Linked DNA regions of Drosophila melanogaster. The protein of the gene in region 2 interacts with the protein of the main gene of each other region in a pairwise test. Each region holds a gene or a part of one and is shown on either strand. Other genes may lie near its edges. The genes, in order: CG7191 and lectin-33A.

What was found.
Region 1: the proteins of lectin-33A (region 2) and CG7191 interact in a two-hybrid assay, tested with the Drosophila melanogaster proteins (one large-scale study listed by BioGRID).

Annotation. Positions count from the first base shown.
Region 1 is NT_033779.5:7,765,181-7,775,045, reverse strand, and holds CG7191 (uncharacterized protein), read right to left. Parts: upstream 7,419-9,865; 5' UTR 7,329-7,418; intron 3,785-7,328; 5' UTR 3,727-3,784; coding exon 3,441-3,726; intron 1,978-3,440; coding exon 1,796-1,977; intron 1,582-1,795; coding exon 1,388-1,581; intron 846-1,387; coding exon 650-845; 3' UTR 13-649; downstream 1-12. Other genes in the region: CG46025 (uncharacterized protein), read right to left, coding at 9,680-9,832.
Region 2 is NT_033779.5:11,000,100-11,005,444, reverse strand, and holds lectin-33A (lectin-33A), read right to left. Parts: upstream 3,374-5,345; 5' UTR 3,363-3,373; coding exon 3,237-3,362; intron 3,182-3,236; coding exon 2,774-3,181; 3' UTR 2,707-2,773; downstream 1-2,706. Other genes in the region: Nup154 (nucleoporin 154kD), read right to left, coding at 1-77, 144-306, 367-465; RpL9 (ribosomal protein L9), read left to right, coding at 1,694-1,934, 2,207-2,538; aub (aubergine), read left to right, coding at 4,080-4,175, 4,527-4,659, 4,787-5,280, 5,339-5,345.

The DNA.
Region 1 (9,865 bases), 3.2 Mb from region 2:
CATACGAATAATAGTATTTCATAAGTTTATTTGAAATATATATATATACTTCTCGACTTTACATTAAAGATAGTTTCAGTTAGTAAGTAGTTAACACGTACACATTTATATATTAATACACACATTTTCAATATTCTCGTATATACACACTGATTTAGCGTTGGGGATTGTGGATCCATTTATCTCATTATAATAATAGTGTAATGGACCGAGAAGACGTTACGAGACTTTAGAGTGATATGGCAACGTTTTGGAATTGTTTGGATTAGCACACGCGACGACCACAATGAAATTAACAAAAGGGAGCGAGCTACTATAACTTTGTTTATTTCGTTAGTATATACAAGACATTGAGAGTTATAAAAGTTTTAATTGTCTACAATTGGAATTAGGGGAGGCTTACAAGGGTCTCTAGCCCTAGTGAGATAACGAAGTATTTTTAGTTCAGCTCGTTTAGCTCTTTTAGACGGGTTAAGTTAAGTAGTTAGTAAATTAGTTAGGCTAATTGTTAGTGCTTGTTGTTCTCCAGTTTAGCGCTCGACTTTGTCAGCAATGTACAATTGATGCTTGGTATACATATGTGTCTGTCAGTGTCGTGTCTGTGTCTGTGTGTGTGTGGGCTAATGGCTTCCATCCCAGATCCTGTGCCTTAGCCCAGGAACCTAATGTTGGTGAAGACCGCCTTGGCCGGACGCTTTCGATTGCAGAAGTTAACCGTCTTGCTGTGATTGCCCTTGCGATTCTCGTGCAGATTGACCAGCAGCTTGAATATATCCTCCTTACTAGGTGTGCAGGCATAACGCAATTCCGGTTCATAGTTGCTGTTGATAGAATTCATGTAAGAACTGATAATGGTAATGGTTATGTAGTTAGCAAAATCGTTCACGCTTCGGCTATCAGTAATCAGTAATCAATAATCGATCTCTCAGTGGGCGGTGGGAAGTTCTGGGTGTCTGGTGTCTGGGCGCCTTTCGGGCCTAAAGAGACTCTGATAAATGCATTACATTAAGTTGTTCAAATTCAATAGACTACTTGGTGGGTGGGCGTTTTGGCAAGGATGCTCCTGAAATTGCCATTCTTTGCATTTTTTCTTTCGAGGTTCATGCTTTTGATTTACGTCAATTCGTTGCAATTGAATTTATCACATTTTTACTTTAAATTAAATCTTTCCATTCCCAAGCAGACGTATTGAAATTGGCAATTTTAGGATTTCCGTTCTAAGCTCTAAAAATATGCTACTTAATACTGCATAAAGACTACTGACAACATTTACTAACTACAAATGAAAAGTGGGTTCGATTAATTAGCGGTCAATGGAGCTGAGTATAGTGCTTGGTGGATTTTCGGATTATTGTGAATAATGTTTAAATATAGAAAAGCAACCTACCCGCGATTCTTGTTGTGACGCTTCCATGGATACCTTCGATAGTAGCGCGAACGCTTGGATTTGCTCTGGCCCAAAACCAAATCCTGAACGGCGTTCTCCAAGTCGGCGTAGTCCTCGGCTCCGCCGGAAGGAATCACAGCCTCCGGCTCCTCCTCCTCCACGTAGACCAAGGGCAAGGTTTCCAATGAGGGATCCTGAGCGAAAAAATGCACATAGATCAAAAAATTGTGTTAAAATTTTAATAAAAATTAAAAATATTATCACTTAAGTATGCATTACTCAAAAAGTTATTTATAAGCAAAAGCTAATATGTTTTGATGTTTATGTTTAATATTTTAAAAAAATTTAATTTACCGTGTATTTTTCAACATTTTCATCGAAATTTCGACAGCCTGTCTTCGCACTCACCTCCAGCATTTTCATGAGCAAAGCGGATTTGTCCACCAGCTCCTGCTCGGCACGCAAATCCTCCTCCATCTTCTTGAGCACCTCGAACTTGCTGGCCAGCTCGAGTTCGTTGTACACCGCATCCGCGTAGTCGGGACCTTGAGGAACCACTGCCAATCCGAGCTCCTGGGCGCGGAGTAATTCTGCCGTGAAATGAGCAAGCCAAAGACCTTATTTGCGATTTGAATGTTTATTCAAGCTGTCGCTAATCCGACCACAACCACGCCATTGCCATTCCCATTCCCACTTCCACTCCCACTCCCACTTAATTCCCCGACTCCTGCTCCTTGCCATCGGAAACTTCCGCCGTTTGATATTTGAAAGTTTGAATAGTTTGTTTGTCTGTCTGTCCTGGTTGGCTGGAATATGTTTTCCCCCGGCTCTTCGGTCGTTTCAATGGACTGGCGGAAATTGACTGGCGGCAATGAGTTTATGGCCACAGCATTCCTTTTCCCCTCCGCGGCAGGGGAAGCCTTCTCGGCTTTTCGACCACGTCCGTCAGTCAAGTCAACAGGCACTGCAACTCCTTGACTGCCTTTTGTCGCATTTGGCATCCAGTCTGCCCATCACTGTCCACTCGATGTCTCTTCAAAGAGCCGCAGACAGCGGACGCTCATGAACCCAAAGCATTTACAGTTTTAAATTTAAGGACTCCTCAATTGAAATAAATAGTTTCGAGATCAGAAACAGAAATAAATTTAAATTTTTGTTTCATATATGTATGTTTATAAGATCATGTCCAAAAATTCAAATGTTACCAACTCAAACCAAATCGATATTCGTTAAATTTCCAATCCATTTACCCATCTATCAAATCGCTTGGAAAACAAGTTCGCTTATTGAAAATCGGATATGACATTTTATTGCCGGTTGGTAGAAGGTAGGTGGTAGCAACGTAAAACGCAAACGTCGAATCAAATTCGTCAACAAATTTGAAAATCTATCCCGGGCAGTTTGGTGGGCGTTTTAAGTGCTCAGCACAAACAAACACATGCTCCACATATTGTGCGATGGTCAACAATGTGAGGCACTTGAAAAATTGTGCACTGACCGAAAATGTTCAGCGAGCGGTGGTCACCATGGCCATTAGGGATAGAGATGGTGGGCGACGGTTACGGCTAAGTGCACGCCATGGGTCACCCTAACTCTTGGTCCACCCCTTTCGAATGGGTCGCCTAAAAGTCGGCAAGCAAAAATTTTGAACGTAATCATGTACTCAGGTGAGGAGTAAATAGGAGGCCATAACTGCCATTAAATATTGAAAATATTTTAGAAAAATAGCTAAATGACAACAAAATAACTAGTTCATTTATTAAAGTTCCTGAACAGATTCAGTTCCAGTTCCTCAGCTTTATGGATCAGAATGCCTATTAATTTGGCTAATATAAATAAGGTCTATATATTTTTATAGGGCGATGGAATAGCTTGGTTATAGGATTCACCTTGACCACGATTACGTCTTCGCATTCAAAAAGAACCCGATAACAATTTAATTGAAATGGTCTTTGGATGCAGTTGCTATCCTTTTAATTCGACTGGGGATTAGCTGATGCCCGGGAAGTTTACCATGGCAAGGAAAGCGGTAATAGGGATGTTTATGACTCACCATCGCCGGGATCGTAAACAGCTCGTTCCTGGGCATCCAGGACATCGCCGGGCAGAGCGGGTCCTTGGCGAACGGGTCCGCCCCCGACCGCTAGAACGGGCAAATGAAGACGTTGTGGTACGGACGCCACGCCCTGATGGTCACCCACTTTGGCACCGTTTGCTCCGCCTGCTCCTCCGCTGGCGGTGGACTGTGCAGTCAGGAAGCCGGCGACGTGACGCGTCCTGCTGCACAGGATCGTGGTAGCCAGGATGCAGAGCGCTAGGATGTCGGGCTTCATGTTCATACAGCCTCTGCGGATGAGCTCGGGATTAGTGCGCGGGTCGTTGGCGATGTGGATGTCTCTGGAAGGCAAAAAAAAAAAAAGCGTAGATGTTTGTACAAGAGGGTAATTACCGTCACTACCACGGCCATGGGATGGATACCTACCCCATCCGCCCCATTATGCCGTGCGTGTGGGCGTCTCTTTGTGCTCAAGCAAACAATACTCAGATAAACACGCAAGCAACCAAGAAACCCCCGCCAAAAGTAGGAGAATCGCGAGGGAAACTGGAGAAATGGGCGGTGGGTGCCAAACGTCAAAAGGGCGTCTCTTGGATAACTTGGCGGCTGATTCTGGGGCTTTTGTTTTGCGCTCCTGCTTAATCTTTCTTCGCGCGAAGAACCGTGGGCCATACGGGCAAACAAATTCTACTCCTTTTCCACTAACTAAGGCCGTTATTTAAAAATTGGGTAAAAATATAAAGGTTGTGTACTTTGCAGACAAATAGTTAATAACAAAGACGGATGCAGTATGTTGTTTATAAAGTAGAAATTACACAATTCAACTATCAGAAAAATAATATATTTATATTAATATTCGAATATTAAAAAGTACTGCCTAATTTTTAACATCCCATTTATTTATAGACAAATGAAAGCTACTCTATAATTCTTGTAGATTTTAACGAAAGATGTTTCTAATTAAAATTGATAAGAATGCTATTACTTTTCGCATAGATTTCCACCACTGTGCAGTAGGTGTTTGTGTGCTTTTATAAATATTTTTTATGTCAGGTACTGCATCGCGGTTCATACTGGGCCCACTCTGTGCGCTTTGTCGTTTCATTTAATTAAGGATGGGACGTCGCCGAAGTGAGCGAGTGGGCTTAACTCCTTCGCAGCGTATTTTTAGCCCATTTAGCTCAGGAGCCTGGTTGTTGGGGTTTTGGGGAAACCCGCCAACCTTATCGCATTTTTTTGCGTTTAAAAAACATTCGCTTGACGAGCAATATAAATGAGTTGCCTGAAACTTTTGGCACTTGCGGTCTCGCTGGTTGAGATGTCTAGGATCGGCTTAATTTGTCTGCCCAAGCAACTGAAAATAATGTATGCCTAAGACAAATTTCGACAAAAAAGTGTGAAAATTTTCACCAAGAAATCCAAAGTTCATTATTTAATTAAGGGCTTGGTAAATAATTAAAGCGCTGTTTGCTGCGAAAGTTTAAGCGTCTGTTTTTTTAAGGAATTATAATTTATTACATAATTCTATAATTTAATAATATTAATCTTTATTAAAATATTTTCCAGAAAATCTGTTCTACCTCACAGATAAATACATTGAAATTAGCTCAATTTATATGGTTAGTTAACCACATAAATCAATCAAGCAAATCAACTCTGTCACGCCCTCTCAAAAAAATAAAGACGGTTGCATTTGGTTCATTAAAATTGCTCGGAGAAAGAGAAATTCTCTGTGGATGATTTTCTTTTCACTTTTCGTCACGTTTTGATTAAATTCAATTGAAAATTTGCAACTTTGTCAAAATATTTGCGAACAATGTTCTCTCGTAGATTTAGGTCTTTAAGTGCATTGCGATTTTCCTGTTTTTTTTTGGTATTAATTTTGGAAATAAATTGCAATTTCTTCGGGCATTTCCTGCAAGAAAACTTTTTCAATTACTCCTCTTTTATTGGCACTCACTTAAGTGGGCGACACTTTGGCGTTATTTTTGGGAAAGCACAACTTATTCGAAATTGCTGCGGAGAGAACGAATTATAAGTAAACAAAGCAAACACGAATCGTTGTTAAAATGCCTTAATTAACTTGTTGACACAGTGTCAAAAAGTGGACAGAGCCCAAAAAACAAAAAATAGGAAAAAAAAAGCAAAAGAAGGGAATTCACCCTGGTTGGCGATGTCCCCAAGGTAAAATGAAATTAACTTGGAAGCGAGGGAAGTTTCAGGAACCCATATATAATTGTACGTTCATTTTTACCCGTCGCCTGTTTTCCTTTTCGCAATAACCGCACAGCTAATTGCTAAATTGAGTTGAAGTGTAACCGAAACGCACACGAACCCAAAGGAATTTTCATAGGCCTTATCTGCCACTATATTCGCCTACGTACCACCTGGACATGTGTGGCGGAAAAACTGCTTAATTAGGGCTAAGGATGTGGAGTTGGTCAAGTGCATCGGACATTTTGTCGCCGGAGTCCGGCCAATTAGACACGGTCTACGTGCGTAACAATCCTGGGTAGGATATTACATAACTTTTCTACTTATTGAATCCGACCATCTGGGATACTTGTCAAAATTTGCACACAAAAGGTTACACAAAGTGTTTGAGCCAAACCAAAGGACCAGACAGACGGCAATGATTGCTACGAAAAATCAAAAAAAGGGTGCTAGCCAAGAAAATTCCATGAAATTCATAAGTATTTTTTTTGCAGTTTTAAATCCTCGCCAACTACAAAATCGTGTACTAATCTTTAATGAAAAGTATAGCCTGCGGAATGTAAGTCAATACCTCTAGATATACTTTTCAGTTGCTATGTCTAAAGAAATAGCACAACCAATTTCAGTAAATACATTCTCCAGGAGAAAATCCTGTGGGATGCTGAATTTTTGTGACATGAAAACAGCTTTGGAATGCTTTCGATTGATTCAGTTTTTTTTTTTAAATTTCTATACGATTGTCAGGAATTTTTGCACGTGGAACTTAAGGGGTTTGAAACAGAGAACGAGGTCGGGGACAACAAATATTGATGCTTTTTTCTATTTGTTTCTCCTAGATTTTCATTGGTTTATTGACATTTGTGTTTGGCATTGGTGGGAATTCCTTGAGTTATTGACATTGATAAAGTATTTATGGATTGCTGTCCCGAGTAACCTTAAAACCAATTTTCCCAAAATTTGTAAGCTCACCAGTGCAATGAAATGAATTTTTAAATTTAACTAGTTCAGCTGTGATGCTCTGTGCTTAAAAAGCTTGAACTTTAATAAATTAATAAAAATAAATTATTGTAGTTAAACATTTACAAGATTAGTATAATATATAAAATTAATCATATAAATGGGGTTTTCTTGTAAAAAGCGTTGGTGAAATAAAATAAGAAAATTTTACTTTTATTTTTGAAGAGAACTTACAATGGCTAGGCTCTATCTTTATGGTAATTTTCAGTTTTAAGCCAAAGGTAGTTTTGTGTTAAATATCTTCTGATACAATTCAAAATATAAGAGCAGATTAAAATAATTTACCAAAGAAAAAGTACTGAATTAATGAATTAAGTTTTAGCTGGCTTTTCTTTGCCTTAAAAATATTTCTGTATTATTAAGAACGAATTCACTTAATAGTTTTAAATATAAGAGTTCTCCTGTTCTTATTTGGCATATTTAATATATGTCCACAAATTGTTATTTATTTTTTTAGGCGCGTATTTCGAGTTTCATTGACGACACTGTAATCGATGACGAAAGCGACGGCATTACTAAGATTTCACGTCACGTTTAGTTATCCTTTTTATGAAATCGACTGGCTTAAATTAAACACAGACCACAAGATATTTTTTGGAAACTTCTTAAAGAGTTTGGCGTGACTGATATTCGAAATACACCGTTAACACTCACTTTAAAATATATTCCTGGAAACCGTTTGAGTTACTGAATCGGAATCAGAATCGGAATACTGTCAACTGTTGCACCTACTACTTGTTGAACACTGCGTGGTTGACTCGCGGAGCCGCTTCCTTTTATAAGGCCGCATCCGAAGTTGAAACCGATTCGTTGCCATCGTCGGCCGATGACGAGTGCGTCGATTTCAACGAGCCGATGTAAAGGCGCCAAAAATTGCGTAAAAGCTTCAAACAAGCTTTTACTGGCCACTCCTCCTTGGAAAACGAAGCCACGGCCGTTTTTATCAATGAAATATTTTGGGGACATTTAAAAAGTTTAGCGCGATATTCGCGAATGAATAATGTCGGTGGCAATTATTCAGCAGGATCACGATATGCGCCGCAAAGTAGACAACAAGTCGCGAAAAGACGTCACGTGGCAAGGTGATAAATTATCTGCGGGTTGGGGTGGATAGAAGCCTTTGTTGACGGCCCTGTTTACGGAAACGTATTCTGAATAGTCCGGGTCACTCGTTTCTCGGAATCTCGCCTTTCTGTGGGAGGTCTCAAAGTTCCTCAAAGGACCTGCCAAGCATGACGCTGCGGAAATCCCTGCAGGCCGGTAGTTTGGAAATGTATTTGAAAATTTCCAGCGAATCGCCTAAATGTAATTGCATTGTCATATTCCAGTGCAAAATGGTATTGTCATATTGCTGCACTTATGAATTAGGCAACGATTATATTTATAGATCGATGATGATATAGCCTATCAGTCAGGCTGATAAATACTGGAAAAAGATAAAAAATCTATTTAAATGTGGTAAACTCATAAAATTTAATTCGAAAGGGTTTGATGTCTGTTTTTTTTTTACCTTCTATTGGCGTTTATTAAAAAATAATCAAATTTTATATTTATAGCTAATGTGTATATTTAAAACATTTGCTGCCTAAACTTAAACGGCAATGGCCTCGGCCAATAGTCCATCCTTTCCGTCCGACTCCCAGTTGAACTGCAAATCCAAAAGGAACACGGCAATCGCAGAGGAGGAATCGAAGGGTCTGGACATCCATCCAGTCGGATGTCAACAACCGTCGCAGCCCGCAGGCCTTGAAAATGATGACACTTTAATGTGAAATTGCCGTTAGTAATGGAGGGCAATCCAAACGATCCTTCGATGTTTTCGTTATTGTTTTGAGTGTGTGTATGTATGTGTGTGTGACTGTGTGTTGTTTTGGCCTAAAAGGCGGGCCGGGAAAATAAGCATATATAGGGTTTTCTTGAAAATCGCCTGGGGCAACAGAAGATGACACTTACGCAGAGAAAACCAATAATAGCCCGCTGAAAAGTTTAAGTGCTCGCGGGCAGGGGAAAGTGTCACTGGATGGAGGCTTCCTCATGTAGCGCGGCAAAAGTCATATTTTTGGCCAGAACCTGCTATTTATAGTCGTCTTTATTTATTTCGTTCGCTCTCCTCCACTTCTTCATACTTTACGCTCCTTATGGCAAGCGGATTGTGCGACTTAAGTTGCATCAGTCCGAAGTCCACCCACCCAAATGGCCACCGATTCATCCAAATGCGTCACGCCCTTCTGGTTTGGCACATGCAATCTCGCCATGTGCCGACGTGCCAAACAAAATGATAAACAAATTAGCGCAGCTAATTACTCTGAAATTTGTGGTTGGTGTTCCGGGAAACAGAGCCTGATATGTCATATATAAATATATTTCTTATGAAGTTATAATGAAATTAATATATATCATCATATACATTTATTTGTAAAAATAAATAAAATAAATCATTACCCAAAAATCATTATACACATGAAAACTCAGCGGACCTTATCATTTACTAAATTAGTTTTCCGTGTAATCTTCTTTCGAGGATTCGGTTTTCAGAACACTATTTGGCCCGCATATCTTTCCGTTACGCATATCCGTATCGCTGAGCAAATATTTGTAGCATACTTGTCGGGCGTTGGCGAGTGAAATGTGCAATTGACTCACGCGTTTGTTTTTGGATTTTTCGGCCGCTTTATTTTTGTTGTCATGCGGGTACAATCAAGTCGTTACAGCTTTAATTAAACCCCATTGACAGTTATCAAGTTATCAACCTAAACGCTGAGATTGAGTGACAGTTTAGCTAACGTTTTTCGATTGCGCTACCTCTTCCGACGTCTAACAAACTGTGGTAGGTACCCCAGCCTAATTGATGTTTGCACGATTTGGTGAAATATCTGGACTCTCATGGATGGGAAACCAAATATTTTGCCAAATATTGTAGAACTCGCTAAAAACTGGTGCAGCAGGATAAACGACCAGCCGCTGTCCACCGAACGTAAAAAATGGTTTTATTCTATAGCTTCTCATTAGGCTTTGGCTGGCTCCTGGGCCTCGTGATCGGAGGAGATATCTTGTTCCGGCTCCTCCACCACCGCCTCCTCCTCGCACTCCTCCGGTGCCTCGACGTAGTTCTCACCCATGATGATCTCCTCGGCCAGTTGATACAGCTCGCGAATATCCTGATCGAAAAATAATAGTATAAAAATATAAAT
Region 2 (5,345 bases):
GTAGATTTCCGAATCGATAGTCAGCCAGGCACGTCCGATTTCCGGAAAGAGGCCCATGGTGCAGTGGCATTTTATGTCTACAACAGGTAGGATCGAAGATTGGAACGGATAGATCTATGGGCTATGAAGCCCAGGATACGTACGCTTAAAGTGCTCCAGAATCTCGTTGGGAATAGCCGACTTGGTCACCGTTCGCATTTGTTGTAGGTTATGTGTTCTATCCGATTTCAAAAACGACAGGCTCTGGTAATCGTAGTCATTAAGTCCGCTCATCGTGGCCCGCCCATGCTGGCTAACGCCGGTCAGCTACAAAGAACGTATCATTAAAGGAGGAGAAGCTGATAAACATCCGTATCCAATACATACTTCCAGCAGACCCGGCTTATTTCTCTCCAGATTGTAATGCCATTCCAGCATACTGGTCGCCGTCGTGAAAAAGTCCAGCTGTGCTTGCGGAAGAGTCATCGTGCTGAAAACTGTGATGAGGCGGGCTAACTCGGGTGCAATGCTAACTTAAAATGCCGTCAGACCACTGTTTTGGGATGAAACTACAAACTAATCTGAAGATTTGGTCGACTGATGCTCAATGTACCCACGCTCCCGCCTTCTGCTAAGTGTTACCAGATATCCTCACATTCTCGGTATTGTTTTGGTATATTTCGATTGAATATTAATGGATTTCACAATTTCAGGCGCCTTAGCGGGGTATTATGAAATCGTCTGTCACAAGAAACATTTGCAAACGTGCATGAAATTAATATTTTAATAATAATTTCTTTTACTGCTAATATATATTATATGATAAGGACGCGTATATTAATAGACAATAATGGTTTTAGTAGGCATATTCAGTGGGCTTAAATACTTTGAAAAAACGTTGATAATTTTATATAAACAGTAACTGTGCTAATACAAGTATAATAAAAAAAGCACTTCCCATGCCGGAAACTTTTGAGAATATAAAAATATTAGAATGTGAAGAGTATAACTCAGTTGAGCGCAACAGGTGTGTTATTCTCTAAAATCGGTAAAACCTCAAACTACTGAATGAATTCAGCATTTCGAAGCTTTGCCAATGGATTTTATAATTGTGATTAAAATCCACTTTCCGCTTTCCCAAATAGACTTGATTTAAGCCTTCTTTTCAAAAAAAAAAAAAAAGACTACTGTAACTCAACACAGAAACTCTAGCGCTTAACAGCACAATGCGTAACGTTAACAGCACCCCAACGGCACATGGCGCTCAAAATTTAGCGCATTTTGTGCGCCTCACACAGCCACATTAAATTTCCCTTCTTTTCTTTTCCCCGTTTCCGGTGAGTAGTGTGTTCCGCGTTATATTTTTATTGAAATTTTAACCCAAAATATCTCTAAAACCACCCCTTGCAGCGAGGAGTCCATCCAGAATTTGTGTCATACAAACGAGGGACTAACGGAGCGTAAGTTTTGTGTGAAAAAGCGCCCCAAAACATCGAATCGAGTGAAACGGCAATTGGCGTGTGGCACTGAAGAGCCGCCGTTTTTCCATTTCCGCTGGGATGGATGATCCATAAACAAATTGGAAAACAATAGGCAGCGCACGTTTTGTTAGCCCGATGTGAACTCTGCGATTCGATGTTTGGAATGCTCTGTGACAAGCACTTGTAGCCTTGATAAACTAATAATTAATGTTTTTGCCGACAGTGTCATCAAGATGCGTACCATTAATTCCAACCAGTGCGTGAAGATCCCTAAGGATATCAAGGCCTCGGTGAAGGCCCGTGTGGTGACCATCACCGGCACCCGCGGCACCCTGAAGCGCAGCTTCAAGCACTTGGCTCTGGACATGTACATGCCCGACAAGCGCACCCTGAAGGTGGAGAAGTGGTTCGGAACCAAGAAGGAGTTGGCCGCCGTCCGCACCGTCTGCAGTCACATCGAGAACATGATCAAGGGTGCGTACAGCTAGGGTAAACACAACAGGAACACTTTCACAGCCAGGCCTTTCATTTGCCAATCACACGAGAATTTAATAATAATATCTGGGAAGACGATTTACTAAACTCCATTCATAGATATCAATTTTCTTTACAAATTACCTAAAAATGCTATATAGTAGTTAGTAAATATTTTCAGTGTGTGCTGGCAAATTAGATTCGGCATTAGGTTCCTAAAGACATTTGCATTCAAAGTACCACACAATTAATTGCAATTTCTCTCTCGCCAGGAGTCACGTTTGGATTCCAGTACAAGATGCGTGCTGTGTACGCCCATTTCCCCATCAACTGTGTCACCTCCGAGAACAACACGGTCATTGAGATCCGTAACTTCTTGGGTGAGAAGTACATCCGTCGTGTGGAGATGGCTCCTGGCGTCACCGTGGTCAACTCCACTGCCCAGAAGGACGAACTTATCGTGGAGGGAAACGATATTGAGTCTGTCTCCGGATCTGCCGCCCTCATCCAGCAGTCCACGACCGTCAAGAACAAGGATATCCGTAAGTTCCTTGACGGTCTGTACGTGTCCGAGAAGACGACCGTTGTGAAGCTAGAGTCTTAGACTTTTGGAATGTGTTTCAACCTAAAATGTTAATAAAAAAAAACCAACGGCCGAAACTTTCAATAAGAAATTTAGTGTCTTTAAACTTTTGTAATATAATGTATTCAGATTTTATCACAATGCTCCACTAAAAAAGTGATGATTGGTTGAAAATTCGTTGGTAAGATTGTGTTATTTATCTTATTTATTTATTTGCAAGGTTTCATAAGTTCATGATAACTTGAGATTGAAAGCACTACAAAAGGACCTTTAGGAAGAGATCCCGCTTAAGGCAGAGGTAGTCCTCTGCTGGTTCCCTCTGGCACACATATGGAAACTGAACCTTGCACTCTATATCGTGATACCCAAAGGCTCCATTGTAATTGGCGAATCCAACACAATCCTCTTCGGGGGAAGCGTTGTTCGGTTCCAGGGGTACCCAGTTTAGGTACGGCACAGTTTCGCCGTTCCTGGCGAGAAGAAAGGTGCGCCGGTTACCCAAGCAATTGATGCCAGCCCAAACGGAGTGATGCCAGCTTTGGGTGAAGGATAGCCCCATACTCTTTAGGAACGTGGTTGTGAGGAGTTTGTCCTCTTGATTGTCGAGCACCATTAGTTCGGCACCAAGTTTTCGACAGCTTCGATCGGCAACATGCCAGTTGGCCTGAAATAATATTTTTGCGTTTAAATAAAATCCTTGTACAACGTATTGTACGCACCTCCTGCAAAGATACGTGGTAGCACTTGTTTCCGACTCGACTAAACGGCAACGGACACGTCTGTGCATTGGCACATTCGAGAATCAGAGCTATAAGAAGGAAACCGAAAGACCCTTTGATGCACATGCTCATGTTTTAGGGCCAACTGATATGTTTATATGAAAGCTAGCTACTTTTAAACGCTCGGCAGAGAACTATATTTTATTGCAAGCAGTCGGGAGATAATATTTATTAACGTTATCTTAAGCAAATTAGGGCAATCAGTGCGAAAATGGCAAGCATGTACAACGACTGCGAATTTATCATTATCATTTATTACAAAAATATTCAAAGCCTGTTAATTTACTATGCCATCTGGACGATGGCACATACGCCCCTTTTACATTTAAATTGCACAAAGGAATATAAAAAAAGAACTTATAATTTTAATATGAAAGATCTTATAAAAATTTGGAATTATGGAATTACACCTGTCAAAATTCCAATTGTTCCACTGAGATATCTCGTTATATAGACCTTGTTTTGAATTCAACGATGCCTTTTCAATAAGTACCACCTTCAAACATTTAAACGTTAAAATAAATAATTTCATATTAATTTTATTTTTGTTTTATGACTTGATATATAGATAATATATACAATAAATAGTAAGTATAAGCTACATCTTTGCAAATGTGTCCGGAGATTTACAATTAATCGCTTTAAGCGCGACCGATAACTGAAGGAATAACTCACATCCCTGGGCGTCTAACAACTACCCGGTAATTTCTGTTATCTCTTATTCACTGAACGGCATTTGTGACGAGTAGATCGTAAGAAAGTGCAACTGTAATTTGTGTAATTATGAATTTACCACCAAACCCTGTAATTGCTCGTGGACGTGGTCGAGGAAGAAAGCCCAATAATGTAGAGGCCAATCGCGGCTTCGCTCCTTCGCTGGTAGGCATTTATGTATTTTCATGTTTTATTTTTATCCAACTTATCCAAAATTAGCTTGGCCTTGTCTTTTAATGTGCATCCCATTTCAATTTCTATGTAAGATCAGCATGCGTATCAAATGTATGTATGCATAATGTTATTGTGTGTACATCGTTTGTACATTACATTACATTTTTGTAATACGTTAAGGTCGAATAGCATGTTTGTACATCATTTTGCCATGAGTTGTTATAACAGTTTATTAATATGCATGTGACAATAAAAACAAATACATGCTAATTAAATAACACTTTGTTATAAAATAAGTGTAATTAGATTAAATAATCAATTTTTTAACCAATTCATTCGCAGGGTCAGAAGTCGGACCCTTCCCACTCGGAAGGAAATCAAGCATCCGGAGGCAATGGTGGTGGTGGTGATGCTCAAGTGGGTCCCTCGATAGAGAAATCCAGTTTGAGCGCGGTGCAAATGCACAAGTCCGAGGGTTAGTAGTTTTATTTGGTTTTGCTCAAAAAAATTTGTTTTTTTTTTTTTCGAACCCAGCTTCTGTGAGCTGTTGTTATTCTCATTTGTTTTCAATGCGTTCGTAATTAATTAGTAATTTAATTCAGGCGATCCGCGTGGCTCCGTGCGCGGCCGTAGGCTAATAACGGATTTGGTGTATTCACGTCCTCCAGGGATGACCAGCAAGAAAGGAGTGGTTGGCACTCATATTACCGTGCAGGCAAACTATTTTAAGGTATTAAAGCGTCCAAACTGGACCATCTACCAGTACCGCGTCGATTTTACGCCTGATGTGGAGGCTACACGACTGCGACGGTCTTTCTTGTATGAACATAAAGGGATCCTGGGCGGCTACATCTTTGACGGAACCAATATGTTTTGCATCAATCAGTTCAAAGCTGTTCAAGATAGCCCCTATGTTTTGGAACTGGTTACGAAGAGTCGTGCTGGCGAAAACATTGAAATTAAGATCAAGGCTGTTGGATCTGTGCAATCTACGGATGCCGAGCAGTTTCAGGTCCTTAATCTCATACTGCGCAGGGCCATGGAGGGCTTAGACTTGAAGCTGGTCTCGCGCTACTACTACGATCCTCAAGCTAAGGTTTGCCCTCTGTACTCACATTTATCATCACTCTCACTTTGGTAATTTAAAAATTTAGATTAATT